Linked DNA regions of Xenopus tropicalis. The main gene of each other region encodes a partner of the protein of the gene in region 3 in a complex. Links are inferred from orthologs where the notes say so. Each region holds a gene or a part of one and is shown on either strand. Other genes may lie near its edges.

Region 1 (5,901 bases), on a different chromosome or scaffold from region 3:
TGTACTCCCCCAGTACTACTTACACATTTTTATGGATTTGTATAGGAACATATCCGTATCCCCTCAGAGAGTAACAGAGAAGCTGTTAAAAAGCAATTGCAAAATTACACCGTGAAACATTCTATCTTGCTTGAATAGGCTAGTGTGTTACCTGTTACATGTCTGGGTGTGTTTCCTTATTATCTCACATGAAATAGCACGTGAAGATTTTTAGCTCACTTTATAACAGCATTCTGTCATGGTTGGGGTGCCCACCAGTGATTACAGTTGCTTTCCTGTGACCCTGGGCCAGTGCTCTTATTTGCTGAAGATTGCATTTAAGATCAAACTAATAGAAGGTGAAAGCAACATGTAAAGGTGGCCCTCCATCAGGCCTAACCAACAGTTATCTGGCCAAAAATTGGGCAGATGTCTCCGGTAACTGATTATAATCACTGTGGGACAGTGCCTAACATTCAATTTAAGGATAGGAGTGCTAGTATTCAATTTTTATAAAAAAAAAAATGGATTTCTGCTTGTGTTTTTGGTATTGTGTCAGTGTTTTTATCAGCTGCCTTCTGTTTCTTACATTTGTTACAAGTATTTTTATGGTGCTTGTTGTTCCACAATCACAATAAATTGACTCTCTTCTCTTACAATGCAGCCTGATTTCCCTGTCACACGCCAAGGAGTAGAAAGCCTTTTACAGAAATTTGCTGCTCAGGAGCTTATTGAGGTTAAGGGTTGGGGACAGGAAGATGATGACCGTCCTACAGTTGTTACCTTTGCTGACCATTCTAAATTATCTGCTATGATGGGGGCTGTTACAGAAAGGAAGGGATCCACAATTCCAGCTGGAGCTAAGAAGAGAAGGCTGCAGGAGGCAGATCCTTCAGCTTCATCATTATCTTCATCCTCATCTGCCAGTGCCTCAGGGGAGAAGAAGGCATCAGAGCCACAGAAAAAGGCAAGAAAAAATGCTTCCCATCTAGACTTGGAGATTGAGAGTCTCCTAAGTCAGCAATCTACCAAGGAGCAGCAAAGTAAGAAGGTAAGCCTCAGTAAGAAAATTCCAAAGACGAGAATTGGATATGACTATAGATAACAAGAAAGAGTGCAGGTATATCTTGTCATTGTTCCTTTTATTTCAAGTTTGGAAATGGTAAGCTGGTAAAGTTCTGTTTCTTGCTCTCTGTCTGGGCATCTTGTGCCCTCAGACCTTGGGGCTTTTACGCAAGGGTTTTTTTTGGGATTACAAATGTATGCTAAGTGCATAAAATCATATATGTTGCATTTATAGGCATTTTTAAGTACAACAATGTGTGTATATTGTGAGTTCAAGTCATATCTCTTTATTATGTTTTGTTATGAATGTATGTAAAATGCACAAAAAACAGCAAGTTGGGTTTTCAAAAGATGCGGTGCAATTTGTCTGTGATAAATCACAGTTCTATGCACACATGAGTACAAACTGGCAAATATAATGGAATCAAATAGCTGACGTGTTTAAGGGCTATAAAACTTTCATCGTAAATGCACAAAAATAACACCCAAAAGGTGAAGGAGGGAAAATTGAAGAGAAATTTGACTTTGGGATACTGGTACTACTTAATCCTCCTTTCCTCCAATTACAGTCAAGAATATAAGCTGTGACCCGATTTGTACTTTTTTATATTATTAAAAAGGCAAAACACATTCTGTATTCAATCCTTGTGTATCAGACTGATGTGACACATAATGTATAGTACTGTATATATTGCCCTTTGTTTACCTTGTTTTCATTGAACCCTAATTCTGTTTGTTTTGCCAGGTTAGCCAGGAAATCTTAGAACTACTTAACACCAGCACTGCCAAAGAGCAGTCCATTGTGGAAAAGTTTAGATCCCGTGGCAGGGCCCAAGTACAAGAGTTCTGTGACTATGGCACCAAGGAGGAGTGCATGAAAGCTGCAGGAGCCGACACACCCTGTAGAAAGCTGCACTTCAGGTAAGACACAGGCTACTTAAAACCAACAACCGATTGCATTTGTTTTTACAAGTTGTTTTTTAACATAATAAGCTCATTCCGTTCATAAATCCCTTTAAGATATATACATTCACATGCATTTAATGGAGAATGTAGTTAAAGCGGACCTGTCACCTTAAGAAATAATTTCAAATTGTTTTCTGTTGTGTTTGGCAAGCAAAATAAACTTTACTTACACTGTATAAATTATTTTAATTTTATTTTCTTCATCCTTGGAATTCACAGCAATTGCAGCAAGCAGGCAGGGGCCATTTTGTGGACACTGTTATCAAAGCAGGCATTGCATCCTGCCAAAATCTTGTTTCTGTGCCAGTATGGGGGGACCTGATGCCCATGTCCATGCACTGGTTACACAATTACATGGTGAGGAGGGAGGGGGAATGTGTGGAGGGCAGCAACATCTAAGAAGTTCTGAATTGAAAGTGAAAGTAACTGTCTGCCCCACCTCTATGCCTAAGGCATAGAGGCGGGGCAGGCATTATATGATTGACAGCTGGGATTTTAAAATGCTTTTATAATGGGTATGGATGTGGTAATAAAAAAATTATTTTGGGTTTCATGTTTAATTTGAAAAGGACTTTTATTATACAACTTTTTATGTCTGGGTGACAGGTCCACTTTAAAGGGACAATTACCCTACAAAAAGCTGGAAATTTATGCTTGCAGACGCTGATGGGCTTTTTATAGCTTTTACTGTCTATAAGGATATATATAATTTATAATTATTTAAAAGTGAAATGCCCTTACAGAGTAGAACAGTAGAGTAAAGGATTGGTTAAACAGGCTCAGTACAGGGATGTTAAAAGATGTTTTAAAACCAAGGAGAATGTACAAAAAGGAATTTTATTTTTGCAGTTTTAGAAATCTTAAAGTGATACCGACACTCAAAAATCTACTCTTCAAAAGATTAATGTACACTAAGTTACCAATACGTTATGCTGATTTTGACATTTTTAAAACTGATTGTTTTGCCAACCTGACTGTCCCTTCTCAACCTGTCAGTTATTGTTTCTAATGCTAACGGACTAACGGAGCACAAATATTGCTGCCCTCTCATGTAAAAGCATTGTAAAAAGAATTATAAGTAGCTTGCAAAGGCAACGTTATGATAGAAGTTAAAAAAAAATGCTGCCCTTTTTTATTTGCTTCATTAAAAATTACATTTACAAATGCCTTTAATTGGTCAGAGAGTTCCTAAATCACCAGTTACCAGTGGCTTTCATTTAACTTTCAGAGCATGAATGTTTGATAGGCTTCAACCTCTATACAGCTCTATACAATGGTATTCTGAGACAATTTGCAATTGTTTTTTATTTTTTCGTTTTTTTAGTTATTTAGTTTAGTTCAGAAGCTCTTCAGTTTGGAATTTTAGCAGCATTTTGGTTGTTAGGGTCTTGTTTACCTTAGCAACTAGTCAGTGTTTTGAATGAGAGACTGGAATATGAATAGCATGGGGTCTGAATGAAAAGTAACAATAATAATAAAATTGTAACCTCACAAATCAATATTTTTTAGCTGCCAGGGTCAGTAACCCCCATTTGAAAGCTGGAAAGATGTAGAAGAGGAAGTCAAATAATTAAAAAGCTATTAAAAATTAATAAGGAAGACCAATTGCAAAGTTAATAGGAATAGGACATTCTATAACCTAATAAAAGTTAACTTAAAGGTTAATCACCCCTTCAACTACAAAATCTACAGAGTGGATATTCTTTGTATAAAATCTATTTCAGGGTGCTTTATTGGTTATATAGTAGCTAAAACTAAAAAAGGTATAATTTTTAAGCAGTTTTTTTGGTTTATTCTACCCATTTGCTATTTCCCATGCAGGCGCATCATTAACATGCACACTGATGAGTCTCTGGGTGACTGTTCCTTCCTAAACACCTGTTTCCACATGGACACCTGTAAGTATGTTCATTATGAGATTGATGCATGGGTGGAACCTGGAGGAACAGCAGTGGTGCCAGAGGCAGTACCAAGTCAAGACACCCCATTAACAAAGGCAGTAGGAGACTCCAGTGTGGGACGCCTCTTTCCTTCACAGGTGAGGAATGTCATTACAGACACCATACTATAAGTGTTTTAAAGCAATATTTTTTTTTATTGCACAAAAACAATTTTACATCTTGGTAGCACAGAGTCTGAGTCATTTCTAAACACTTTCATTTAACCCCAATTACATTAGCCATAGCAACCAATCCACAAATATATTTATTCAGTCTACTGCAGGTAGAATAATACATCTCTGGTTGTTAGGGGCTTATTACAATGGAGCGGATTTGCACTGTATTAGTAATCGAACCTAAATGTTTTTATACCTTTATTGCCAATATACTTACTTAAAATAAACAACGGGTTAATTTTATAAATGTACCAATGCTTTTATTTGGAAATCATATATTCATGCATTAGATCAGAACTTCTAGCAATGAGTTGTATTTTTTTTTTTATTCCTTTGGCTTTCTGACATCTCACTTTTCACACATACCAGTGGATACGCTGTGACATCCGTTACCTGGACATGAGCATCTTGGGAAAGTTCTCTGTAGTGATGGCTGACCCACCATGGGATATTCACATGGAGCTGCCATATGGGACACTAACTGATGATGAGATGAGGAAGCTGCAAATTCCAGTGCTACAGGATGACGGTTTCCTTTTTCTTTGGGTCACTGGGAGGTAAATGACACTGCCTAAAACCCTCTCCTGTTTAAATGCTAAAAAAACATTTTCTAGAATTCACAAATGCACCTTCTGCTTAATTTGAAAGTCCAATTTGTTTTTGAATGTGTAATTTGAAAATTAATTAGCAGTGTTAATAATGAAATAACCTTTTTGCTGATACATTGTAACTTGACTGCCACGGAACATTCATTATAACTCTACTTAGATTGGCCTTGCACATAAAGTCAGGTGCTGGCTCGTTATTCTGTATTTTCACTTGGAGCAAGCCTATTTTATTATCTTGTTTCAGTATGTTTTGGCAATTGTTGGGAGAGAAACATATAGTGCCCAGGAAAGAATAATCTGTAGCTAAGATCTTCTCAAACTGTGGGGCTGCTGCATGTGGAATCACTTAACGAATGACATATTATGACTGCCAAGTTTGGTTACCTCGGGGGTAAATGTTAATTTGTTATGCTTAATGTACATTAAAGACCAACCTAAGAGTTTAGAGGCATCAATTTACTGAAATTAATTTATTTAACCTAACAGTTGTCTGAACACTGTAGCTTTAGCACTGCCTGTCTGTTTGACTGCATTATATATTCTAGGGCCATGGAGCTGGGCAGAGAGTGTTTGAAGCTCTGGGGGTAAGTATATAACCTCTCATCTCTTATTAACTTCCTTCTGATCTCTGTTGAATTTCTTTAATTCCTATGCTTTCCTTTACTCAGTTATGAACGGGTAGACGAGATCATATGGGTAAAAACCAACCAGCTGCAAAGAATTATAAGAACTGGACGTACTGGCCACTGGCTGAACCACGGCAAGGAACATTGTTTGGTAATAACGGTCACTGTCATTATGCCTCGTATAAACATGCTGTCCAAATGTTTGCATGCATGCAGGAAGTTAGAATAGAAATGCATGCAAACACCAACCCTACTCACTGTTTTATAACATTGTTTGATGGAAAGGCAGGCTACTTTTATCCCACTAATGGCTTTAGTTCTTAATGTAGGTAATTTTATTTAATGCCCTTTGCTGTAACATGTACTTAGCTACCTGCATTCATGGTGGAGGTCATTTATCAACAATGGACAAATTTGCACCACGGCAGTACCCATATCAACCAGTTTGTTATACTTGCAGCTGGATGAAAAAAAAATCAAATCAATGATTGGATGCTATGGGTTACTGCCTAGGTGCAAATTTGCCCAGTGTTGATAGATG
Region 2 (5,901 bases), about 62 Mb from region 3:
GTTCTTCCTCTGCTGCTTCTGATTTGACACCCTCCACTACTGTAACTGTCACTGTACTAGTCTAGGAAAAATCCTTATAGTGCCTAGATAATACTCTTAATTTCTCATGTGACAAAATGAAACCTGTTGGGAAAATGGTTATTCTAACTGCATTATATTTGCAGTTTTATATTGCTAATACAGGTTTTTCAGTTCATTAGCTGTCTGAGGGTCAGTTGGTGGCTTCAGCTGTCGATAAGCAAGCATGTAGAAACATTTAGAGAATGCTACTGAGCTAAAAGCCTGGCATTGGCCATCTAAAACTGTTGCTGAATTAGGGATGCACTGAAAACAGACAGGATTTGGTTTGGGTTTTGGCCAAGATTTGGGCTCTTTTGGCAGGATTTGAATTCGGGCAAATCCACGCTCCTGGGCCAACCAAATCCAGATCCTTAAAATTACGTGATGTAATGCAAATTTAGAGTTCAGTATTCGCCCGAATCTCTCTCAAAGGAATTCAGGGTTCAGCCACATCCAAAAAAGTGGATTTGGTGCACCCCTACTAATGTTGAAAAGATTCAACATTTCTGCGGCTGAGAATGAAAGGCTATACCTCTGGAAACACTGAACTCTGTCACGACTTGTGTTGGAAGTGGGTTACTGCTTACAGATTTAGCAGTATAAGACAATTAAAGGAACAGTAACATCAAAAAATTAAAGTGTTTTAAAGTAATTAAAATATAATGTGCTGTTGCTCTGCAAAAAACTGGTGTTTTTGCTACAGAAAAGCTACTATATAAATAAGCTGCTGTGTAGCCATGGGGGCACAGGTTACATAGCAGATAACAAATAAACTCTGTAGAATACAATGGCATTTTATCTGTTATCTGCTAAGTAACCTGTGCCTTTTGAATGCCTTTGAATGGCTACCCCCATGGCTACACAGCAGCTTACTTATATAAACTATAGTAGTCTTTCTGAGGCAAACACACCAGTTGTAGCAATGCAGGGTAACAGTAAATTATATTGTAATTACTTTTATACACTTAATTTTTTGGTGTTACTGGCACCTTTATTACAAGTGCCGACTTGTGTGTCTAGGGTTTTGATAATCCTCTGTCTTGTAATATTAAAAAATAAAGTACCAGCACAGAAAGATGTTAAGGCTAGTGCCACACTTGGCAGAATCTGCCAGTACGCTTAAAAAATATGATAGTTGTAGCTGCACCCGGAACCATTGCTTGGGCTGGGATACAGCCACACTAAGTGGAATTTGGCAAAAAAACCTTCAGTATAAGAACAGATGTTTTAGTGGTTTTGATGTTTTCCAACCCCCAATGTTTTTGATCCCTATTGATTATCCATAAACAATTACTATGCAAACCTGCGGACATGCACATAAGCTATTTACAATACAACATACAGTCATGTACCTTTTTTACCATTTCAAACAAGAAGTTGCTATATTACATTCATCATAGATTGCTAACAAAAATAAATACTGATATTGTTCCACGCATTTCCAGCAACTTGTATATGTAGCTTAATGATGTGGCTGCATGCCTTTTATGTCAAAATGCATGTGGTTCCTATATTTGCTGTAACTAAAACAAGGTTATTTTTGTGTCGAAGAAATACTTTTGCAAAAGTCCTTGCTGATCTGGTTGCTGATGTGCACTTTTCATGGGTCTCTGATTCAGATTATCACTTCTAGTATGATGGATTTAAAAGACAATTTGTTTTTTTTTTAAACATCTGAACTGCCAGGGTCACTGACCGGCAGTAGTTTCTGGAAAATGAAAATGAAACGCCCTGAATACAAAGAAAAACCATGCAAGACAATTCTACATTAACAGCATAGCCTCACAATCTACATTTTAATTTCCAGGTCGGAGAAGGGCAAAATAGAAGGGCAAATAAATCAAAACCTACACAAAGACCAACGGTAAAGTTGCTTAGGATGCTTAAGATACTAAAATATTAAGGTGATCTTCATGACTAAAACATCGTTAAAGAGACACTATCATGTGGGCAGATTTTTAAATCTGAAAGCAATGCCTAATGGTATATATGGGGGGGGGGGGGTAATCTTTAATCTGCCTTTCTCCAGTCATAGAGCTTTCTGTATAACAGTTATGCCTGTCGCATAGTCCTTATACAGATCTCTAATAATTCCCTATTTTACTGGTAAAACAAGAAAAGATAAAATGTTGGTTATAGTGCTTTTTTCTTAAATAAATTAAATTGTGTAAATGAAGTAAGGTTTTTTTAAGGCATCCTAAAAATGGAGCACTTTATTCTTCATATCAGTTAGCTGGGTCGGGTGCATCTTTAAGGAGCAATCAGTCAGTTCTAAAGTGGCAATTTTGATTTCCTTTGTGACAGACATATTATGTTCTGTTTCTGGCAGGGCAGTTCTGAGGGGGATGTCTCAGGAAAGGGGGAGGTTTGGTTGCATCATGGAAAAGTTGTGTAGCTATGGGTGGAACAGACATGGCTAAGAAATGTCCCAGTATTTAAATCTGTAATGTTGGGAAGTTCTGCAATCCCAACTTCAAACTTTTTGGTGCGCCCAAATTATCTTCATTTTATTTTTCTAAATGTGTGGTATTTTTTTTTTCCCTAAAAGAAAGCGACACAGGAATGAAAGCAGCCCAAGCCCACGCCAGTCCCCCAAGCGTCGCCGAGAACACTCCCCTGATAGTGATGCTTACAACAGTGGAGATGATAAAAGTAAGAATTGCGTCTTAAAACAAAAAAGTCTTCATTTTTACTAGATTTTTACAATTTTGAGCTCTTCCATTGCCTTACTTTTCCAGGTGGCTACAGCCATGTGAATTATGATCTGATAAACTTCAGTTTGTTTTTGTTTTTCTGTTGGATTTGCCTTTAATGGTTTAAATCAAATAACTTGACTGCGTGAACCACAACTTGTAGAATCCCTTGACTTCCATAAGTCAGTAAGGGAGCAAATTATGTATTGGGCATTGCAGGATTTGACCTATAATTTGGTACTTGTTTGTGTTTGGTTTTCCTTATGCATCAAGCCTTCGCCGAGGCAAGAATATTTAAAAACTCTGCACTTATGTAAATGCGAAATGTACAAAAAGGAACATTCTGCAGCCTCTAAATGACCTCAAATAGTTAGTTTGGTTGAATATTACTGCATTTTTAAAATTAATAAGCAAGACTGACCTTGAGACTAATGTCTCCATGCCAGCCATTACAGAACAACTTTGCTTGGTGTCTGTAGAATCTGAACTGTAACTTTCAGGCTCTGCAAGTCTTAATCTGCAATCAGATATGAAATGACAGCAGGAAATGGCTTTTGAGGGCACCCAGTGGCCACATAGTGTACATAGTTCTACTGTGCAAGAGTTATTTCTGCATCTCTCATGTAAAATATATTTTCCTTTAAATTTCAAATAAGAATGTGGTTGGTCTGCCTTGATTCAGCCATAACAAACATAGTAATAAGGTATTTATAAAGTAAGTATGAATGGCAGGCTTCTGTCTCTGCTGCCATATTGTAAGAATTGTATTTTTTGCTTGCAGATGAAAAGCACAGACTTCTGAGCCAAGTGGTTAAACCCCTAGATACCCGTTCTCTAAGTCCTGCTCATGTTAATGAAGAAAGACAATCACGCTGGAAAGAAGAGGAACGCAAATCAGAAAGAAAGGAGAGCTCAAGGCGCTATGAAGAGTCAGAAACTAAAGAGAGAGCAGTTCCTGCAGCAGAAAAGCAGAGGGAACATTTAGCAGAACCTAGTGAAAATTCTAAAGTTAAAGATCTGGACACTGTTGTTCAGCACAAAGCAGAGGAAAGGGATATTTCCGAAAAGCTACACGACGACAAAACAAAGAAAACAAAATTGCAAAAGAAAGCTGCAAAAAAGAAAAAAGAGGATGAGGTTGGAACAGAAAAAAGCACAACAGAGTCTCAGTCTGATGATGTTCAAGTCTTTTCACCTAAGAAAGGACAGAAAAAGAAGAGTGTTGAGAAAAAACGTAAGAAATCCAAGGGTGACTCTGATGTTTCTGATGAGGAAGTTGTTCAGCCTAGCAAAAAGAAAAAAGGACCTAGAACACCACCCGCTACAGTTGCTCCAGTTTCGGTAGCAGCACCCATAAAGGAAGAAGTCGTTGAAGTGTTGCCTGAGAAAAAAGTGGTAGAGAAAAAAGTGGTAGAAGTTTCTCAAGAAAAAGAGACCGCATTTAGTGACTGGTCAGATGAAGATGTTCCAGAAAGAAAAGAACCTGTTCCTTTAGAGAAAAGCATAGAGGAACCTATCAAAAAGCCTTCTAAAGTCAAAGTAGAAAAAGAGGAACCTCGACCTGCAGCCGCCGAAGAACCTCCTCCTCGTAAACCCACAGAGCAAAAACGTAGCAGCAGCATATCCAGCAACCAGAGCCGCACATCCAGCCGCCTTCGGTCACCATCCATTGATTCTGTTCATCGAAGTGGAGAAGACCATAATGCAAGAAGGAGATTATTGCATGGTAGCTCTAGAGATCGTGACAGAAATAAAAGCATTGAGCCCACCGGGGAACGCAAGTCCAGGATAGATCAGCTGAAACGTGGAGAGCCTAGCCGCAGCACTTCATCAGGTGGGTCATTCAGTAAATCGAACAAGGCTTTTTATTGAATTTTAATGGATTATGTCGGTTATTGTTTATCAGTGTTTTTTTGAAGATTTTACCAAATCCTACAGGACAAAAAAATTAAAGAAGATCATTGTGAGAATCTATAAAAGTATAGGTCACTTTTTTATTGTATATTGGTTGACGTTTTTATATTGTTACTGCTGTCATTCCGGCCCAACTGAATTGACATAAGGACTTGAGAGGCCCTCTAGAGGGTACATATTGTTATAAGGTACTAATGTTGTAAAGTCAGCAGCATTTAAACTAATACTTTTTTATGCGTACCAGACTTAGGAAACATTAGTAGTAAATTAGTAGTAAAGAACCCCTTTGTACAAGAAAGTACTATAAGTACTGTAAAAACTTAACTTGGGGGAATGTCGGAATTAGCACATCCCACACCATGCTTTATTCCACACAGTTACATATCAAGGTAGTTGCTTTGGAATGCTTTACTTCTCTTGCAGGCCTTGTTTTTATTAATTATGTGGAGCAAGTATGCTCCTCATATGGAAGTCACCAAGAATAAAAGATTTCTTATTTGCTGCACAGAAACCCAGTTGTGTAGTTTCTTTAGTAGTAGAGACGTTTTACTATTTACACCTGCACACAGCTGTCAGTCTTATATTGATTGAGGAAAGATACCACAATAGTATAAATGTGTTTATTTGTTTAACAGATCGTCAGGATTCAAGAAGTCACAGTTCCAGAAGAAGTTCCCCTGAATCAGATCGTCAGGTGCATTCCAGATCTGGGTCATTTGACAGCCGGGAAAGAGCTTCCGAAAGAGAGCGTTACGAATATGAGAGAGAGCGTGACAAGGACAGAGAGAGAGAAAGGAGAGTTGGAAGACAGAGGGAGTGGGATCGGGAAGCTGATAAAGAATGGCCAAGAACCCGAGACCGTGACAGGATAAGAGAAAGAGAGCGTGAAAGAGACAGGAGGAGTGACATTGATAGGGAACGTGAGAAAGTTCTTCCTGACAGTACAGAGAAAGAACGAGTACGCCTTCTTGATATGCCACCCATTGCTGAGCCAAAACGTACTGATCTAAAGGAAAGGGACCTGGACAAAAATTATGATAATAGCAGCCGAAATATTTCAGCTGTGGATAAAATAGACCGAAACCCTGAAAACTCGCAGGATATCAGCAATAGCCGTAAAACTGAAAAGCCAGAGAGCTTTGATGGTAAGATTTTTTTATTATATCTTAAATTTTATTAATGTAAATTTTTTAATGAACCAATTAATATCTTTGCCCTTTTGCACACTAATGGC
Region 3 (6,345 bases):
TCACATCATACTGTAGCATGAGGCAGTATGACAGATGTGGCAGTTCTAGGATCCCAATGGCACACAAAGCATTGTCGCCTGCATGAAATTGCCTCTCACATAAGGAATTCCTAAAATTAACTTGTAAGTGTACTGGCCAGGACACCGCAAATTCTGTCATTGTATGATCGCCAACTTTTAATGGCCCACAAAGCCCTCCAGTGTCTGTCGAGTAATATCTTTTGTCCTGTAACACAACAGGGCTCTTTTAAAGTTTACATATATGCAAGAACACATTTCTGGTGTTTTGAAACGTCCTTAGCTTCTGAACTTATAAGCACACTTGCCAATAAAACAAAAAATAATAGCTGCACATCTAAAAGATTTGAAATTTAGACATATGCATTAAGGGAGCAATTGATAATCTTATTTCTATATACATGCTATGTAGTATAAATGACAAAGTCAATTGTTAGCTATGACCCTACATAGTAAAAATGTATGTGATTTATGTGACACGTGGCAAATTTAGAGCTTCCTTGCATAGCTTACTCTATGCATGAAACCTACATACTGGCTAAGGAGCTCTCTGTGGTATGGGGCACTCTTATATCTGACACTTATATGGCACTGTTCTACAAACATGCTATATGACCCATTTCTTGATGGAGGAAATAAACTAAACAGAGTAAGTTTAAAAATAAAATTCCTTCTTAATATCATTCAAATCCTCTCTTTAGATGTGTAGGATAAACATATATATGTTTGTGTGTGTGTATATATATTATATATATATATATATATATATATATATATATATATATATATACACACACACATACACATACATACAGTATTTACACTGAACTCTACTGCATGCTGCAGAAAACTAGCAGAAAAGTGGATACTCGAGCATGTGGTAACGGGTCAAATTAATACATGGAAGTCTTTTTTAACTTTGTATTCCCAATTGTTGCTGGACAGCATCACATGAGAACATTTTTGGTGTTACAGTCCAGTGACAGTTTGGGAACCAAATTTAAGAAGTAATGTATTCAAAAATTAGCAGAAATCTCACACTTAAAAAAATTCAAGAAGTTGCCAAAATCAGAAGATTGTGATTACCTATGCTAAGAGAATATAATTTAAAGAAAATGGGAAATAGGCAGGAAACGTCAACACTTGAATATGGTCCGGTCCTGTTTAATTACATAAATGCTTTTGCTAAGCAGATCAAAAACTGCAATACAAAGACTGAACTTGCGATTACAAAAAAAAAAAAAACTAAAAGTTATACTGTATCCCATAATACCTTGTGAATAGTAGACAGAAATACAAACATGGACCTAGGATGCCCCACGAACTATAATCATTATAAGGTAGTCATCATCAGACTTCACAAGGGCTTTTGCTTCAGCATCAAGAAACTGCTGGGAAAAATTACAGGGAGGAAAAGCATGAAGAACTCCTGCATGATCTTTGTCTTTATTGCTCCCAACGGGCAGGCTGATAACACCTGCGGCTTGTTTTTGTTTTAAGTAGGACACCAGGTTTCTTAGGGGTCGTTGTGTTGAACTGGCTTGGTCCACTGATGAACCCTCGGAAGTACCAGGAATGGCAAGTAGGATGGCATAGCCATTAGGCCCTGCCACTCTGATGCGTCGAGTAACTTCATCCAACTTTGGCTGGTCAAGTCGTAGGCGCTGTGTAATTTTTAGCTGTGCCACCTTTCCTCCTGAAGGTCCCTCAACCAGCAAGCTGGATGCAACTCCAAGATCTCCTTGCAAAAGGTGCATATTGGATGGAAAATTGCTGTTCTTAAGCAGCAGCATACCTTGCCAAGCCAGACACAGCTTGTGTGCTGCTTCTGATTTTTGTGGAGGTTTCACTTTGCTGTTGCCCTCTGGATGCTCATCCTTTTTTAAAGGGCTTTTATTTGCAGGTACACGATGCCTTCTTTCTCTTTCAACTGAGTTTTTTCTATCATGTTTGTCTTCTTGACCCCGCTCCAGGCTTCCCTTCCAATCTCTAGAAGGTGAGGAGCGGCATGCTACTCGATCAGAGTCATTGTAACGGTTGTCTCGACCTCCACTGCCTTCAGGGCTACGTTCAGGAGTGACACAGTGTCTCTTTCTAGAGCGGTCACTCTCTGGTGATCTGTCTAGGTGACGGCTATCATCCAGTCTCCTTTTCCTGGGCTGATCTCTGTTCACTTCATCTCTTTCACGGTCTCTGTCTAAAGCCCAATTATCTGCACGTCGTTCTATTGTTTCAAGAGATTCACTAGTGACTCTGTGTCTGTCTCTGGCAGGAGGTGACACCCAATCATTGTTTGTATAAGCATCTCTTTCCCTGTCCCTGAATATTAAAGGTGGTGAACGATCTCTGGCTCTGCTGGCTTCACTAGTCCGATGTCCTGGTGTCTCCTCTCCAAAATCAATATAAGGGATGGGTAATGGCTGAACATAAGGATGTGGAAAACGAACATCTGCTTCTGCAAAATCCACACGAAGTCTTCTATGGTCACCCCCCATAGGGAAGCCTCTCATCTGGGTACAGGCAGCTTGGGCAGCATCCAGACTTTCATATTGTATATACGCCCAGTTTTCCCCCTTGCGGTAATCAATTTGACGGATGGTGCCAAATCTATCAAATTCCCGGGCCAATGCAGTTACTGGTACCCAAGGTCCCAGACCCCCCACCCAAAGGCGGTTTGTTGGTACTACTTTCCCATAGCCGATCTTTAAAGCATGACTACGAAGCATCTTGCCGGACATTGCAACCTTTGCCCTGTGAGCCATGTCAAGGTTTTCAAACTTTATGAAACCATAGGTCGTTTGCTGCCCACGACCAGCTCGTTTTATATCTACTTCTGTAATAGTTCCAAAACGTCCAAAGACCCTATAAATTTCACTCTCCTTGACAACGACATCCAGATTTCCAACAAAGAGTGTACGATTAGCTCTGGCATCAATCTCTAAAGCAAGGTCTTCGTCTCTAAAGTTCAGTCGGGGATCTACTGTGTAGGTAGACCTTAGCCGGCTATCATAAAGGCTGTATTCCCGTTCCCTGTCCAGCTCCCTGGGTAGAGCTGCCGGAGCCGGTGGGAGGCGCCCCAGAGCCAGCTGCTGCAGCCTATAGTCTCTGTAGCCCAGGCCGCCGGGGGAGAGTGCGCGCTGGCCGTGAGGGTGCCTGTGTGTGGCTAGTGTGGAAACAGCGGCGGCGAGTCCGCCATACGAGTCTTTCTCCCCAGGGCTGCGGCTGCGCCTCCGGTTAGTACCGCCGACATTCAAATAAACAGCCTCAATCTTGAGGGGTCTGTCGTAAAGGACAAGCCTCCCGCGGGCGTGCTTAGCGGCTCGGGCATCCAGGGCGCGCCTGAAATTCACTAAGGCCACACGCTCGTCCCCCTCGCGAGAGATTTTCACACTTACGTCTCCGAATTTTTTGAATTCATGGAAAAGTCCATCCTCTATTGCCTCGTCACTTAGCGAGGAGCCCAGCTCGCTTATCCGCAAGGATTTGTAGTATTCTGGCTCTGCACGGCTCTCTGTAGCCCGGCCGCCGCCGCCTCGGCTCTCAGCGCCACCTTTACTGCTGCTACTGCCACTGCTTGCCCCGGGGGAGCCGTAGCGATGCAAGCCCTGGGCTCTGCTCGATTGATCATAGTCGCGGCTCGAGGAAATAGCCTTTTCCACATGCAGGCTCCGGCGGCCTGTGCTGCTTTCAGATGTCTTTCCCGATGATCCGTTACTGCCTCCACCGGAGCTCAGTTTTTTTCCGCTTCTCTCGCGAGTTGATTCCTCCGCCCCCCGGGACCGTTTGGCCTTGGCCGGGGAGCGCTCTTTTCCCTTCATGGCGAGTTACGGGATGATAGTGTCTTCACACACAACTACACTCCGCCATTTTGCAGCGGTTTCGCCTAATTGACCGCCCTGAATAGCGATTGGGTACTTTCTGGCTTTCTTAAAATTCTATTGGATAGCTCTGCAGTCATTCTTACAAGATCGCATAGGATGGGGTGGTCTTTGGGCACGTCACTTCCGCTATTTCTCTGCGTTTCCCACGGGGCGTTATGGGTTGGCTAATGGCTACGTTGCAGGTTTATTAAAGCTTCGATCCATCCTTTCACGCGTGAAATCTTTTGTGCTACAATGGTTTCTAAGGTTTCATTTGTTTCATATCAATTTTACTTTTGTAAAATTTCAGTGAAATGTAAAGAGGAACGTTGGAAAGAGACAACATTGGCATATCAGATGCAAAGCGTTTTAAACAACCCAGTAGAATCGATTCTATATACTTTTGCAGGTTACTAGGCTGCTGGATAGGAGGTGCATAATTGTTCAAGTGATTTTAAGCCGAGAACGTCGTTTCAGTTAAAAGTAGATTTTTTTTTTACACATTATTAGTGGTGTAATTAGTTGTTACTGGTCCCCACAACAAATTCATTTTAGAACTATTAAACATATGCTAAATTGGGTAATTAAAATTGTTTTTTTGTAAGGACCATTCTAGGCCCTTTGAATCTCTAGTCTGTTTCCCTTTGTAGTACCACCCCTACAGATTATTAATACACTATTTCATGTTTGTGTTTCACTCAAACATATCTTACTGGTATTTCCTTTGCTGTTATTGTCAAACAATCCTAATGCAGTATTGTTACTATACAGGGATATATAGATTGTAGACCTTTGGTAACCTCTTTAACATTTTAACACAATGTTCTATAAGGTACATTTATTAATACCGTGTTATGTGCAAAGTGCAATTTTCAAAACAAATTTTCCAGCGTACTTTATTCTAGAATTCAAGCCTTGCAGATACTTTTATGTGATTGTACACAAAATGTTTTGGGCATTGATCCCTTTATTAAATGTGAACAGTGGCAATGTGTTCAGAATGTAGGAGAATATAGCTCCAGATCCCAATAACCTATTTAAACCATGAACCTCGTAAAAAGGTTATTTCCCAGATTTTTTTTAATTTATGCCCACCAATAAGTGACTCATTAGGTGAGGCACTGAACACAATATTACAAAGCGAGGCAAAATAGATAACAAAAACTATCAAGTACAGGTATCGGACCCCTTATTCAGAAACCCATTATCCAGAAAGTTCAGAATTAAGGGAATGCCAAAAATGGCTTCCTTTTTCTCTGCGGAAAGACTGCTTATCTGGAAAACCCCAGGTCCCAAGCCTTCTGGATAACGGGTCCCATACTTGTATGTGAAATATGGAACTTTAGAATATTATGATGACATATCCTTCTTTTCTTTTTAGATGAGTGATGAATATGGAGCTTCTACTGGATGTGTTCAAGCATTTTTTTGTTTTCAGGTATTGATATAAATTAAGTGATGTAGGAGCTAATTGAATGGGTTAAATGTTTAATAAACATGTTTGGGTCCCCTGCATAGACCTGTTGAGGGCAGTATCCTGTTTAAAATATTCTTTTAACAGATAATTGTTTTAATGGATTTTTCTAATATTTTATGAACTTTATTATTTATTATGGCCTTTATTGTTGGTCCTACAGCTATGTAAGGTGACACAGAATTTAATGGAGCCCTTATTTAATATGCAAATGTGGGCAATGGATGCATCACATAATGCAAGAATTGTTGAAAAATACATTTTGACATGGATTGCACTTTGATGAGGTTTTTGGAGGTGGAGCCAAATAGCCTTTGAACACACACAGGGGCCAATCCCAAAAACATGTTGTATGCAATAGTATAATAAAGTATTTATAAGGTTTGCAAGCCCTGAGTAAAGGTCCCCATACACTATAAGATCCAATTTCAGGCCAGATATCGGTCTGTCAGGCCGCTCGTTTCTTCCCATACACGGGCCGATTAGCTGCCGAATCGGTCCAAGGGACCGATATCGGCAGCTTCTATCGGCCCGTGTATGGGGGCCTTTAGTCTTTGTTCCAACCACATTTTTTCTGGGTCCAACAATGGACCCAGGTGGGGGATTTCATTTAGAACAAGTTATGTGGACATGGCACTATATATAAATTAATTAAATAATTAATACATCTGGCATGTAATGTTAATGACCACATTAACATTTAATTCACTAGGTAGAAGTACATTCATTGTGTAAATGCAACCTGTGCTTACAGTAATGACAACAGATCACTTAAAAATTCAGGGACACTTTTAATAAATGCATGTTGCAGGGCTGAACTGATTGCATTTAAATTAAATTGTGATCATTGCAGACCTTCTAGCTAGATTTTTTAGATGTGTCCCTAATTTTTAAGTGATCTGCTAACCTTATGTTACAGTGACTATAAGGGTGAAGACGCACAGAACTACTAGTAGCAGCTACTTTTTCATGGTTACGAAACCCCAGAAAATA
Region 4 (5,901 bases), on a different chromosome or scaffold from region 3:
TTTGCAAAAGTTGTGAACCTATGGGCCAGTGACAGTGAATTGGAATGAATGGCACTGTAAATACTTTTTATTTAATTTTGAACCTGATCATTTTAGGTTCAGTCAAATGGGGTAGCATAAGCAAACTTCCAATATTCAAACTATGTTGGGCTTACTTTATTTGTGCTGACATTGGGCATTTTCCTTTTCCTGATATCACATATGGAGCTTTAGTAGGTTGTAGACCAGAAAAAAAGACTAACAAATTGGCAAAATGATTAATATTTCCCATGGTCTTTAGTATGTGACTTGAAGTCACAATAAATCTTTGCATTAACTGCATAGCAGTGATACATAGTCCATTATCGTGCTCAATGTTTTAGATCAATGTTGTCTAACTCATTAAGCCAGATATTTCTCATATAGCATGTGTGAGGGCCAGATAAAATAATGTCATACAGTGAAGTCTCTTAAACTTTTTAAGCACACTTCGGGCCATTTAAAGTCTTTGTTTTAAATTATAGCCTCCTTATTTGATCATAATACATTTTTTTTTTCTAATGGAAGGGTACCTCCTTTTTATATACATGGTCAGTTTAGTTTGGTTGACCTTACCTTTTGCTCATAGAAGATGATTAATACTAGCTGCTTTTTGCCAACACACTCTCTTGCTTCATAAAATGTGTAGAATACACTTATAAATTCAAATTTTAAAACCTTCTTTGTTTTCCTTTCAGATTCCATGTAAGCATGTTTTCTGCTATGACTGTGCTTTAATGCATGAGAAAAAGGCAGATAAACTGTGTCCAGGGTAAGCCTACAATTACATTTATTTCTTAGAAATAGTAGAAAAAATATTTATTTGGGGCTAAGTACTAGTGTATTATTTATTCCTCAAAAGTACCTAGCAGACGATAAGATGGATAAGTCAATATATTGCTCATAATCATTTGGTAGTTGCTTCTCTTTTGACAAAGTTAATTAACAATCGTTAAACATTAAGTATATTTATAAACATGCATGAATCCAGATTTTATTTGTTACTTAGGGTGGGTACTGTTTCCTTTATGAATGCTACATTCTCTATTTTATTTTTTAATATTATTTTAGCTGAGGGATGTTCTTATTATTCTAGTCATGTGATTTTTTTTTGATTTTTTTTTGGTTCACTTTAAATACCTTACAGGGTGGAGCTAAATGGAATGTGTATTTTGTTTTTTTTTTATTTTGTGGTGTAATGTCTCTTTTTCCCCTCCCAAAAGAACACTTGTTGAAGAAAGTACTGACACCTTTAAGCGTATGAGGTAGGTTCTAATAGTTTAGCAATTTCTTAAGTAACTGCAAAGATATGGTTAGGAATGTTTTTTTCCCCAAAAAAATATTGCAGCATATTTGCTGATGAGCTACATTTCTTGATGTTAACACCTCAACTTACTTAAGAACAGCCTTGCCACACAGAATGTGGGGATGATTTTGTTGTAATTTTATGAGCGTGATTACATTTAATTCCTGATGAGCAAGGAATCTTTTTGTTTTAAAAATATAGCAGAGTTTGTTTTTTATTATGCATAAAACATGTTTCATCCTGAAAAACTTTTGAAAGCTTTAAAATAGCAATGTTCTGGATTGCTCTTTTTATTGTTGATTAGCACTGGTTCTTTATATGAGTTCACTGAAACTGATATATTGCAATAGTTTAGTTGGGCAAGAAGTATGGTACCTATTTTCTAGAATGCTCAAAAGCTGGGGTTTTCTGGCTCTGTGAACTGGATCACCATACGTAAAGAATAACTTTAATATTAAAGCCAATAAGGTTGTTTTGCCACTAATATGGATTAATGTTATCATAGATGTAATCAAGAACAAGACATTTTTATTGCAAAAAGAAAGGGAAAAAAAAGTAACTATTTGCTATACATGGAGTGTATGAGACATGACCTGTTGTTCGGAGCTTTCTCTACCTTACAAATTAGAGATCCCATACATTTTGTTATTGCGATTTTACTTTTAATAATTGTTGGGATAGGTTTGGTGCTTTGGCAATAACTAAAGGTTCAAGGTTGTATTCTGTTAAATGAGAAAAAGAAAGTGATGCTGAAATAGATGCAAGCTCAAATCTTTGCAATTGTGAGCTCTTAATGAAAAGGGCTGTCTTTATTTCTTATATCGATCAGTATTAGCGTAGTTGATGCACATCCTTCCGCATGTTGACACTTAAAAGATATAAAACATGCAGCCCAACATTAGGTAAATTTTGCAATTAGTTTTTTTTACTGATCTGGAACGGCTTTACTGATAAAATCAAAGCTGGAATAGGAATTTAAAAAACTTGAGTTTTCCTCAGAATTTACCTGATGTTTAACAATGTATGTTTCTGTATCCATTCAATTAACTACTTTTTTTCTGTAGCTAAACAGAGACAGATTATGGCTTAGCAACCTAAACAGTTTATTCACCCACAGGGATACACTTTTGTGATTTAGTGTAGCTGTTTATCATGCTATGTAAATGACTAGGTCTGATTCAACTTGATGCAGACTGAGACTATTTCCTACATCTGATAAGCACTAAGATACCGTAAGGCAACAGTGTGGTTTGAAAAATAGTTATTCTGCAGATACAGCATGCATGCTGGAAATGTGGTGCATCAGATATCAACTTTCTTCTGCTAGCTTGAGCACTTATGGATATGATTGCCCATCTTTCACACTTGCACAGGTATGCCTAAAATGTAAAATGCCTAAGTCTCGTGCTAACGATGCCTTTGGCTATGCTGGACCTTTTAGTATGAGTAGTTGAGTTAAAGATTTTTACTTTACTGCTCAAGCATATAGTTCCAACAGATTCAAAGGAGTACTGGCAACGGACACAAGATGTTGGTAAATAGGAGCAAGAGACCCTGCCCATTAACTTTATACAGTTTGCATCATCACCCATAGTGATTCCAGTTGCTTACCTGCTACCCTGACTGGCACTTCTTCTTCTTCAAAAAAAAAAAAGCACAGCCTTGGGCACTACTTACCAAGTGCCGAGTTGCAATTTTCTTTAAATCTCGTAGATCCTCCAATTCTTGGAGGACTGTGCTCCAGGCTGGTATGTTTTTTGAAGATGGGTTTTTTTTTTTTTTTGGAACTGCTGGGGGCTACTTAAGAACTTGGCAACCTAAGTTATTTTAATGTTCCATCATTTGGTAGGTTTCTAAAGGCAAATCATTTAGCTTCTATCAATATTGTAGTCTTAAATGTTTCTAGATGGTTTTGCCCGTTAAAACTCTTGCAGCCATTAAATTATGATGTGATGTAACTGCATGACTGTTTTTAGAGTATTGCGTCAATGCCTATCTTTTTGAGGCAGCATATGCAATTATATATGCATTATTTAAAGTTCTGGTAAATTATGACATTGCATATGCAATTGTAATTTATTATAAGCCCCAACTGGCGATAATTTGAAGGTTTTGGTGGCTTTGTCTTTCAAATAATTTAAATAACTCTGATAAAGTTTAATTTGCTGGGGTTTCATTTAGAAATCCCCAATTTTAATTGTAGTAAATATGCCTCTTTACTTTTAAAACTAGGAAATTTTCATACTAGGTTGGAATATTTTTTTCATCTTACGTTAAATTAATTTGAGGAAGATTTTCATTCATTAAGAAAATGTCTCAAATAGGACATCGATGTGAATATTAGTATGTTTCCAAGCAGCATTAAGAAACTTCTGTTTTTTTTTTTTTCCTTTTCAGTTGCAATGATCCCGTTCAACGCATTGAGCAGTGTGCACGTGGCTCTCTCTTCATGTGTAGCATTGTGCAAGGTTGCAAGAGAACATATTTATCTCAAAGAGATCTGCAGGCACACATTAACCACCGTCACATGAGAGCTACCAAGCCAACTGCCCGACCTCAGCCTGAGCCAATCCATCCTCCTTTGGCCCCACCCCCAGCAGAAATCCCAGATCGCTTTATAATGCCCCCAGATAAGCATCATCTAAGTCATATGCCTCCAAAACAACATATATTGATGCCACCTCCCCCAATGCAACATGTTCCTCATGAGCATTTCAGTCAACAACATGATGATATTCGGCCCTCTCCAGCAGAAATTTCCTTAGCCCCGCCTCCACCCCGCTCTGTTAATCAGGATGCTTTCAGGATATCTACTAGACAGCATAGCAACTTAATCACAGTGCCTATTCAGGATGATTCCAATTCTGGTGCCAGAGAAACTCCTCAGGCACCTGGTCCTACTCTACATCATCCAGAGTATCCAGGCCAACCAGTGGTGGCTCATCCTCACCATATAATGCCTCCACAGCAGCACTATGCTCCACCCCCTCCACCACCCCCTCCAATCAGTCATCCAATGCAACACCCTCCTCAGGCAGCTGGGACACCTCACATGGTTTACAGCCAAGGTCCTCCACCACCAATGACAACTGCTCCACCACCAATAACACCCCCACCGGGACATATAATTGCTCAAATCCCACCATACATGAATCATCCTCCTCCAGGACCTCCGCCACCACAACATGGTGGTCCACCAGTTAATGCTCCTCCTCCTCATCATTATAATCCTAGTTCTTTGCCTCAGTTCAATGAAGATCAAGGAACTCTAAGCCCTCCCTTCACACAACCTGGGGGAATGAGCCCTGGGATGTGGCCTGCTCCAAGAGGACCACCGCCACCCCCCCGAATGCAAGGGCCTCCTTCTCAAGCCCCTATTCCAGGACCTCATCATCCAGATCAGGCCAGATACAGGCCGTATTATCAATGAAATACTTATGCTGAACTTGCTAGATGTAATCTTTTGCTTCAGCTGCAGGTTTATGGTAATGTGTATACAGTCTCTTCAGTTGTGGCTTTCCCTTTTTGGGGGTGTTGTAAGCAAAAAACACAATTTCAGTTGAACTACATGTTCTGAAAATTTTGACTTTAATCATACAGTCAGATTTGTGTTTTTTTAGATTTTGACAAACCGCCATCTTAAGATTATAACTTCTGCATTTCCTAGCAAGTGTCTCATTTTAATGATATGTTACACCCAATGTAATATAAATGTAAGTATATGTGTACAGTAGTAGTTGTTTTCCTTGAGTTGTAAGATATAACAAGTAACCGCTGTATAACATTGTAGAATTTTTACAGCCAGTAAAAAACTTGGTTTGTAAGATTAAATGTTCTGTTTTATTAATAATAAAAAAATCTTTATAGTCTGATTTACAAGCAAACTTCATAGCGGATAATGGCACTTACATTGATTAGAAAGTAGGCTGTTTATTCTGTCAGCTAGTGTCTGCCTTATTGAGAATTAAAATATTAGTTTGTAAATAGGGTTCTGACACAGCAGACAATGGAAATGGAATAGCACGGCAACAGTGTTTGCCATTCACTTTGAATATCAGGAGTTTGTAGCATTTTGTTCGCTGGTTTGGCAAAATGCAACAAATCTATTAGTCTGACATTACCTTTATTCTGTATAATATGCCTTTATTCTGTATAATATGCTTTTGTAACACTAAAACTTAGAGCCTATGTGATAAGTGGAGCTCACCACATGGAAGATGGGTGCTAGAGGTTTGGGGAATACTGCTATAATTTTGTAAGGAAGGTCCTACATTGATGCAAAAAAATCATGGTGGTATAATATCAAAATACTAAATGTTTGAAAGTAAATGTTACATCTGGGATGTTGGGGGGAAATGAACTGTACCACCATGTACATTATTTGCCATTCTTAAATAGTCTTAATTGTAAATGTTCATAATATGACCAGTGCTTACCAACATACTGAACATTAAATGTGACACACATCTGATGCAATACAGCAATAAGTATGTCTCCTTTAGTAGATTTTTGCTCTGCCATGACCAGGAACTAGCATTTCCGTCCCATCTGATATTTGAGGTTCAGTTCACATTTCA
Region 5 (6,548 bases), on a different chromosome or scaffold from region 3:
CACCAGCATCCCCCAACTCTTCCCCAAGCGTCCTCCAGCTCCCCCAACTCTCCCCCCCAGCATCCAACAGCTCCCTCAACTCTTTCCCAAGTGTCCTCCAGCTCCCCCAACTCTCCCCCCAGCATCTCTCAACTCTCCCCCCAGCATCCCTCAACTCTCCCCCCAGCATGCCCCAACTCTCCCCCCAGAATCCAACAGCTCCCTCAACTCTTCCCCAAGCATCCTCCAGCTCCCCCAACTCTCCCCCCCCCCAGCATCCTCCAGCTCTGTCAACTTTCCCCCAGGCCTCCCCCAGCTCCCCCAACTCTACCCCCAGCGCCCACCTGCTTCATCCAGGAAAGCCCTGGAGCTATAAGCGCAGGGGCTGCATGACAAGGGATCCAAATAACCAGCAGCCAGATTACACTGGTTTATGTTTAGAGATTGGAGAACTAGGTTCAACTGTGATTAGGTGAGAAGGAAAGAATTAAGGCAGGAGAAAGCCGGCCTGGGGGGCGGAGAAAATGAGAGGGATGTGATGTCAGAAAAAGAGGGCACTCACGTCCGTATCTTCTGAGGAGGAAGAAACATCCCACCCACCCTCCCTCTTTTTGCATATTTTGCAAAATGTCAGGAATTTCTCTTCTTTTTGATTTCATAATATCTATTAATAACTGAATCTGGATGTTTTCCTGAATGCATTGTTATATTGTGCTTTCTCTATCTTTATACGGTATAAGGATATAGGATATCCTATCATCAAGACACTGCAGATCCAGGACCAGCAGCAGGGCTGCTGAACTTCACTCATGGTTGGTAATGCAGCTCCTGCTGGTATCAGAGTTTCCTCTCTGTAGGTAGAGGCAGTCTAATACTCATTCAAGTCTTCAGCGAGGAACGGCAGAGCATAGTATCGACCTCTTATGAAATTATGGCTTAAGAATATTGCCTTGGGTTAGGCTTGCAAGGTCCTATTTATTTGATAAAATGTGAATAAATGCTGTGGCCATTTTCTCCACCTCTGTCTCCTGTTGTTTCATTAAGGTATGTAACAAGGGGGTTCAGTAGGGTGCCTCAAGGCAAAGGGTCAATTGAGGAGTCCCCTTGTCATGCTCTTTCTCAGCGTCCCCCTGCTCCTCCTCCAGCTGGCCGCTGCTTGCATCCTCTGGCTCACTGTGTCCTCACTTTTAAAGGTTGCGCCCTGTGCATACTGATGTCACATATACGCACAGGGCGCGACCAATCAAATTACCCGCTGACCACCAATGAAAAGGCTCGTCATTTTTAAAGGGAACCCGGGCTAAAAAAAAAAAGAGGTGTATCACGGCGGGGCCCCCATTGGCGCGGGCCCGATTGCAGCAATAGGTCCAATCGGCCTAGGGCCGGCCCTGTATTCTACAGAGCGTATCGCCTATGTTACCTGTGCCATTTAGGGCAGTGACACACAGGGAGATTAGTCGCGCTGCAACACAATTTTATTTTGCTCAGTCTATGTATTTTGCCTAGTTTTGTTTTTACACTGAACTGCTCCTTTAAAGCACTTCATTTTTGGTGTTACTGGTCCTTTAAAGCTTTACATCATAACTACTGCAAAATGCTCCAGTGTTTACAAAAATAGTGTTTTTTTCAAGGTTACATACATACAGGTATCGGACCCCTTATCCGGAAACCCGAATTACGGAGAGGCCATCTCCTTGTACTTGATCCTAACTAAGATATAATTAATCCTTATTGGAACAAAACCATCCTAAGGTAGGAGATCCAAATTACAGAAAGACCCCTTATCTGGAAAGCCCCAGGACCCGAGCGTTCTGGATAATGGGTCCTATACTAAATATCAGTAAAAGTTCTAAATGCAACTTGCCTTTAAGTTTGTGTGTGCAACTGCTATTGCATGGCATGGGGCAGCCAACTTGTCTACAAACTGTCCCTTGTCCCTAAAACATGAAATCATGCCAAATATATGAAGTGAAAATTGGCAATGTTTTTACAATTATAGAGTTTTGAATAAACAATTTTGTATACATAAGGCACTTTAAAATATATATGTGTGTGTGTTGATATACTATATACACACTCACAAATATATATTACACATAAAGCACGTTTTCCTAATAAAATTTCGTGCTCCAGTTCAGTCAAGAGAATGCGTATCTCTCTCATGGCAGGGGGTGTGACTGAGAAATGACTCCCGCCTCATTTCCTCCGCTGCCGCCATTTTGTGTCGGAGACATCTAGAGGAGGAAGAGACGAGAGAAAAGCAACATTCGGAGACCTGATAAGACTGACCGAAACTACGAATTTGCCTGTAGCGATTTAAAGTCGCACAAGCCATATTAATTGTTGCCGGTGTCAATAGGAACTCTTTCTCTGAGCACCGCGGAATTGCGAGTACCAGGACAGGAGCCGCCCGGGCTGCGCAGCTCACTCACCGCATAAGGTGGGAGGCAGAAGCGGAGAGGACACGGTGGGTTTGAGTTGTGAGGTATTAAGCAGAAACCATGTGCTAGTTTGTACGTTTTGGGACTATTGGTGACTCAATCTCTTCTGTGTATGTGTGTGTGTGTGGTGGGCACCAGGATTGTCTGTATCTGTTCCTTCCAAAAAAAAAAAAAAAAATGGCGGAACTCGGAAGGCTGCGGCCTTCTCGTGACTGACCTTAGAATCGGGGCTGTAGTTAAAGGAGAGGGCATTGCAGGAAATCTGCAGCTCCCATCCGAGGAGGGATGTACGTGACTTAGGGATGTCCAACTGCAGTCCCCGCTGGGATTAGTCGGAGTGGTGGGAGCTGCTGTCGCAAACGAACATAAGCTGAAGGACTTCCCTGATGTAAATTGAAAATAACACGTTAACCTTTGTCACTATGCTTTTCCAAAGGCTCTGATAGTGGAGAGGGGCAGTGAAATTCACCCAATTACCGTGTTTCCAGTTATATGCAAAGTATATGAGCAGTCACTTGTCTGCCAGTGAGCAGGAAAGCGCTGTACAGTTACATGGAAGTGAAACTACTGGATGTGGCAATGCTTACAGTTTCACATGCTGCTTTTTTGGAAGGAATATAATTGGGGAAAATAAATGAGAGACCTCAGCTTATTTAAAAGTGCACATATTTGCAGAAGCCATGTTTGTTAGACATTTTGAGACCCCCCCCCCCCAATTTTCCCACCATTTTGTTTATAAATACTCTGCTTTACAAGCAGAATAACCTTTGTTCATGTAAATACAACATTTTAAAGATTTGGTTACTAAAGTAAGTGAAGCAAGGTGACTTAAAAATCCTAGTTCACATGGGAGTTTGTTTTGCCTGTTTGTGCTTTATTCCATGCTGTGATTGCATGGAGTACTAACTACCCTGAGAGCAGATGCTGCCCCTATGGAGGTGACTTGCAGGTATATGCAGCAATATGTGAAAATATGTTGCACATATAAGCATTTTTACCTGTGTCCCATTGTAAGTTTAGTGATTGTTTCCAAGAGAGTACAGTAAAATGTAGCCTTGCTAGCACTGTTTGTGTTTATTGGCTGGAATCTTTATCCAGTACTTCTGAGGTTTTCACTTGCCACATAGACTTCACTTCTAGGTAATCTTGATTCTAAGATGATCTAAATATTTAAATTATTTTCAAATAAAGAATTAAAACAAGAAGATTAAAAAAGAAATGTCAATGCCATTAAACAATAGAATTGCAGTGATACTACAATAAATCAAATCTTCATGCAGTTAGCATATGATTCACATGGAGCATCATACATGGCATCTTCATTAGATTCAAAGATGAGATGGTTAATCTTTATGGAAGATAAAGGGTAGTAGTACCAAAATACCTTTCTGTTGCTGGTAGTTTGTTATATGCTGTCAACCAGCTGATGCCATGTCCCTTAGAGAATTGTTTTTTGACAAACATTGTAATTGTGGAACGTAGTTATACTCACTGGAGAACCAGGAAAGCCCTGGGGTATCAACGTGAGAAGTCCAAGTGTCCAATAAAGCTCTGAAATGCATTGCATATTACAGGTATTTTATGTTAATGTTGCATGTGTAACACAACATTTTTTGGTGTATAGATGCTTATAGTAAGCCCACACATTTTGTCAATATAAATTGGAAGCAGTTTGAATCCATCTGGTGTTATTGTTGCTGTGGTTTGACTAAGGGAAACATACTTTGTACAGTTCTCTTAGCTGATTCATAATGCATGTTTTGGAGGTAGACAAGGTATCGGACACTATCAGCCCACCAGTTTTTTGGTTTTTTTTTTTTAGGTTTTGACACTTTCATTTTGGAATATAATAAACCTGAGTGTGTTTCTTGTTAATTCCTAGTTATTGCCCTGCAATCTTGTTAACCCTCCTGGTGCATTATTAGTCATTCTCAGATCTATGTTGCCATATTAGATTTCATTTTTATTCTGCGAAAGTAGAGTTAAAAGCAAAATGTTTAACATGATCTTGTTGGTGACATTGTTTTTTTAGTTATAGAGGAGTGAGTAAAAGTTTTGAGAAAGCTGTCATGCAGTCCTGCAAAGCAAATTAGGTTAGCCCTCTCCTGCCTTTTATGTGGAAAGTGCCACAATTGCCTCTTTCTTAGTGCTCTTTTTATACAGAAAGGGCATGTTATATCTTTGATGATATTTCCTGATGCTGGCAAGCAACAAAAACTGCTCATGAAAACATTGTAAATATCAATATAGTTCTGTAGGGAAAGGGATACAGAGTACATACACTTAAAGGCTTATTTTGGCATGCAGGGAATCAAGCTAGAATGCAGTTTAATATGAAATCATTGTGCATCACATTCGCACACTGGCTGCCTCAAAAAATGGTTAAATTCTTAGTGGCCAGGTCCTCCCATAGTTTATGGTTTTTCACTGTAGTCTACTTGAAAATGCACAGTTTGTGCATTTTATGCATCAGTTAGCTACTTGGTAAATAAATATGTAACCGGATACAGTGTACACTCAGTTATCATCTTAAGCCACACTTCTTTCAGTCAGTAGTTCAAGAGATACAGGCTCCTGAAACCATTGGCAGATCCAGGTGTTTTCTCATGAACTGACAGCCATACCAATCAAGTAATTCTAATTGATTAGAATGATTTTACTTTTCTCTCTAATCAAATAGTCCAGTGTACTCAATCGCAACTTAACTTCATGAATCCATATTGGTGGCAAAACAATCCTGTTGGGTTTATGTAATGTTTCATTTTTTTAGCAAACTTAAAGTAGAAGGAAAGGCTAATTCACTTGGGGGTGCCAACATGTTAGGCACCCCCAAGTGACTTTAACCGCTTACCTTTTACCCCGGACTGGTGCCCCTGTTAGGAGAAAACCTCACCAGCCTGGGGTTGCTGCGAGTATAGTGAAAAGCCGAACTTTAACAACGCTACAGGTACACCGGGCTGGTGCAGTTTTCTCCTAACAGGGGCACCAGCATGGGGTAAAAGGTAAGCGATTAAAGTCACTTGGGGGTGCCTAATATATTGGCCTTTCCTTCTCTTTTAAGGTATGGTGTTCCAAATTACAGAAAGATCCCTTATCTGGAAAAACACAGGTCACAAGCATTCCATATAATGGATCCTGTACCTTTGCCGTCTGTACATTAAGGAAGTAAGCAAAGTTAAAACATGCTAGCTTCAAGGTCCTTCTCTACCCTTGAAACAACAGACATCCTTAGTAAGCCACCTCATAAATTTAGCGTAACCTTCTTTTTACGAAGACACATTCGCATTATGCCAGAAAGTTTAGCAAGTTGCCAGAGTACAGTTCTTGTGTAAAAAAATGCTTTGAAACTTCTAATAGAGATCAGTGATATTCAGCTAAGTACAAGCCCATGTGGATATTCACAGTAAAACTTATTGTATCAGACGAGTGAAATTTTTCATTATGGTTTCAGAATCCTATTATTGCCTAACCTAAGCCACACAGACCTATAACCACTGGAATAGAGGAACAAAAAATTGGTACTATTATCTTGGTATTTGAAATCATGTGACTTGTAATACTCATTTGTTACAGAGGCACCATGTGCCAAACCGTTCTGTTGACTGATATTTATTGCTTTGTTGTTTATGACTATTGTCCTAAAGTAGATCATGGTGTTAAGGAGGCCATTTGTTGGCTAGGCCTCCATAGAATCCAATCAGTTAACTAGATAGGGGCTATAACAGGGAATACAAAAGATTAATGGAAGTTTTTAGCCATTATCTCACTATCTGTATTTATTATTATTTATTTGGGATGACTGCCAGAACTATCAAAACTACAGCAAATGAAGATGAGTTGTAGCGCCACTTCATTTGCTCGTCTGCCAAGTACACCTACTGACATGGTACTTTAGGTAAAGTTTTAAAACCAGTCCCTGACCTGGCATGCAGGCATAATCTAGCATGATATCTGGCAGTATGGTTGATCAGCTAAACTGCCTGACAGAATCTGGGCATGTAATGTAAACCCTCTCCCACCAGTATACGCAGGAGTATCTCTTGTCAGTTTTTGCAGACCACCTCTGCCCAATGCCCTTCTGAAGATTTCATTCATTTCATTCTAATCTGTCAAACAAATTTTCAACTG

The links.
Region 1: rbm15 (region 3) and mettl3 share a complex: the UniProt entries of both Homo sapiens proteins name them as parts of the WMM complex. The link is inferred for Xenopus tropicalis from reciprocal best matches to the Homo sapiens genes RBM15 and METTL3.
Region 2: rbm15 (region 3) and zc3h13 share a complex: the UniProt entries of both Homo sapiens proteins name them as parts of the WMM complex. The link is inferred for Xenopus tropicalis from reciprocal best matches to the Homo sapiens genes RBM15 and ZC3H13.
Region 4: rbm15 (region 3) and cbll1 share a complex: the UniProt entries of both Homo sapiens proteins name them as parts of the WMM complex. The link is inferred for Xenopus tropicalis from reciprocal best matches to the Homo sapiens genes RBM15 and CBLL1.
Region 5: rbm15 (region 3) and wtap share a complex: the UniProt entries of both Homo sapiens proteins name them as parts of the WMM complex. The link is inferred for Xenopus tropicalis from reciprocal best matches to the Homo sapiens genes RBM15 and WTAP.

The regions. Positions count from the first base shown.
Region 1 is NC_030677.2:141,969,428-141,975,328, forward strand, and holds part of mettl3 (N6-adenosine-methyltransferase 70 kDa subunit), read left to right. Parts: intron 1-643; coding exon 644-1,030; intron 1,031-1,789; coding exon 1,790-1,965; intron 1,966-3,831; coding exon 3,832-4,048; intron 4,049-4,495; coding exon 4,496-4,683; intron 4,684-5,279; coding exon 5,280-5,318; intron 5,319-5,402; coding exon 5,403-5,511; intron 5,512-5,901. UniProt on the Homo sapiens protein: The METTL3-METTL14 heterodimer forms a N6-methyltransferase complex that methylates adenosine residues at the N(6) position of some RNAs and regulates various processes such as the circadian clock, differentiation of embryonic and hematopoietic stem cells, cortical neurogenesis, response to DNA damage, differentiation of T-cells and primary miRNA processing.
Region 2 is NC_030678.2:134,299,603-134,305,503, reverse strand, and holds part of zc3h13 (zinc finger CCCH domain-containing protein 13), read left to right. Parts: intron 1-1,867; coding exon 1,868-1,924; intron 1,925-2,608; coding exon 2,609-2,712; intron 2,713-3,534; coding exon 3,535-4,587; intron 4,588-5,302; coding exon 5,303-5,812; intron 5,813-5,901. UniProt on the Homo sapiens protein: Associated component of the WMM complex, a complex that mediates N6-methyladenosine (m6A) methylation of RNAs, a modification that plays a role in the efficiency of mRNA splicing and RNA processing.
Region 3 is NC_030678.2:72,274,170-72,280,514, reverse strand, and holds the start of rbm15 (RNA-binding protein 15), read right to left. Parts: upstream 3,929-6,345; 5' UTR 3,837-3,928; coding exon 1,326-3,836; 3' UTR 1,292-1,325; intron 1-1,291. UniProt on the Homo sapiens protein: RNA-binding protein that acts as a key regulator of N6-methyladenosine (m6A) methylation of RNAs, thereby regulating different processes, such as hematopoietic cell homeostasis, alternative splicing of mRNAs and X chromosome inactivation mediated by Xist RNA.
Region 4 is NC_030679.2:76,283,270-76,289,170, reverse strand, and holds the end of cbll1 (E3 ubiquitin-protein ligase Hakai), read left to right. Parts: intron 1-716; coding exon 717-790; intron 791-1,241; coding exon 1,242-1,283; intron 1,284-3,721; coding exon 3,722-4,754; 3' UTR 4,755-5,811; downstream 5,812-5,901. UniProt on the Homo sapiens protein: E3 ubiquitin-protein ligase that mediates ubiquitination of several tyrosine-phosphorylated Src substrates, including CDH1, CTTN and DOK1. Targets CDH1 for endocytosis and degradation.
Region 5 is NC_030681.2:44,106,058-44,112,605, reverse strand, and holds the start of wtap (pre-mRNA-splicing regulator WTAP), read left to right. Parts: upstream 1-2,139; 5' UTR 2,140-2,446; exon of another isoform or gene 2,447-2,464; intron 2,465-2,664; exon of another isoform or gene 2,665-2,808; intron 2,809-6,548. UniProt on the Homo sapiens protein: Associated component of the WMM complex, a complex that mediates N6-methyladenosine (m6A) methylation of RNAs, a modification that plays a role in the efficiency of mRNA splicing and RNA processing.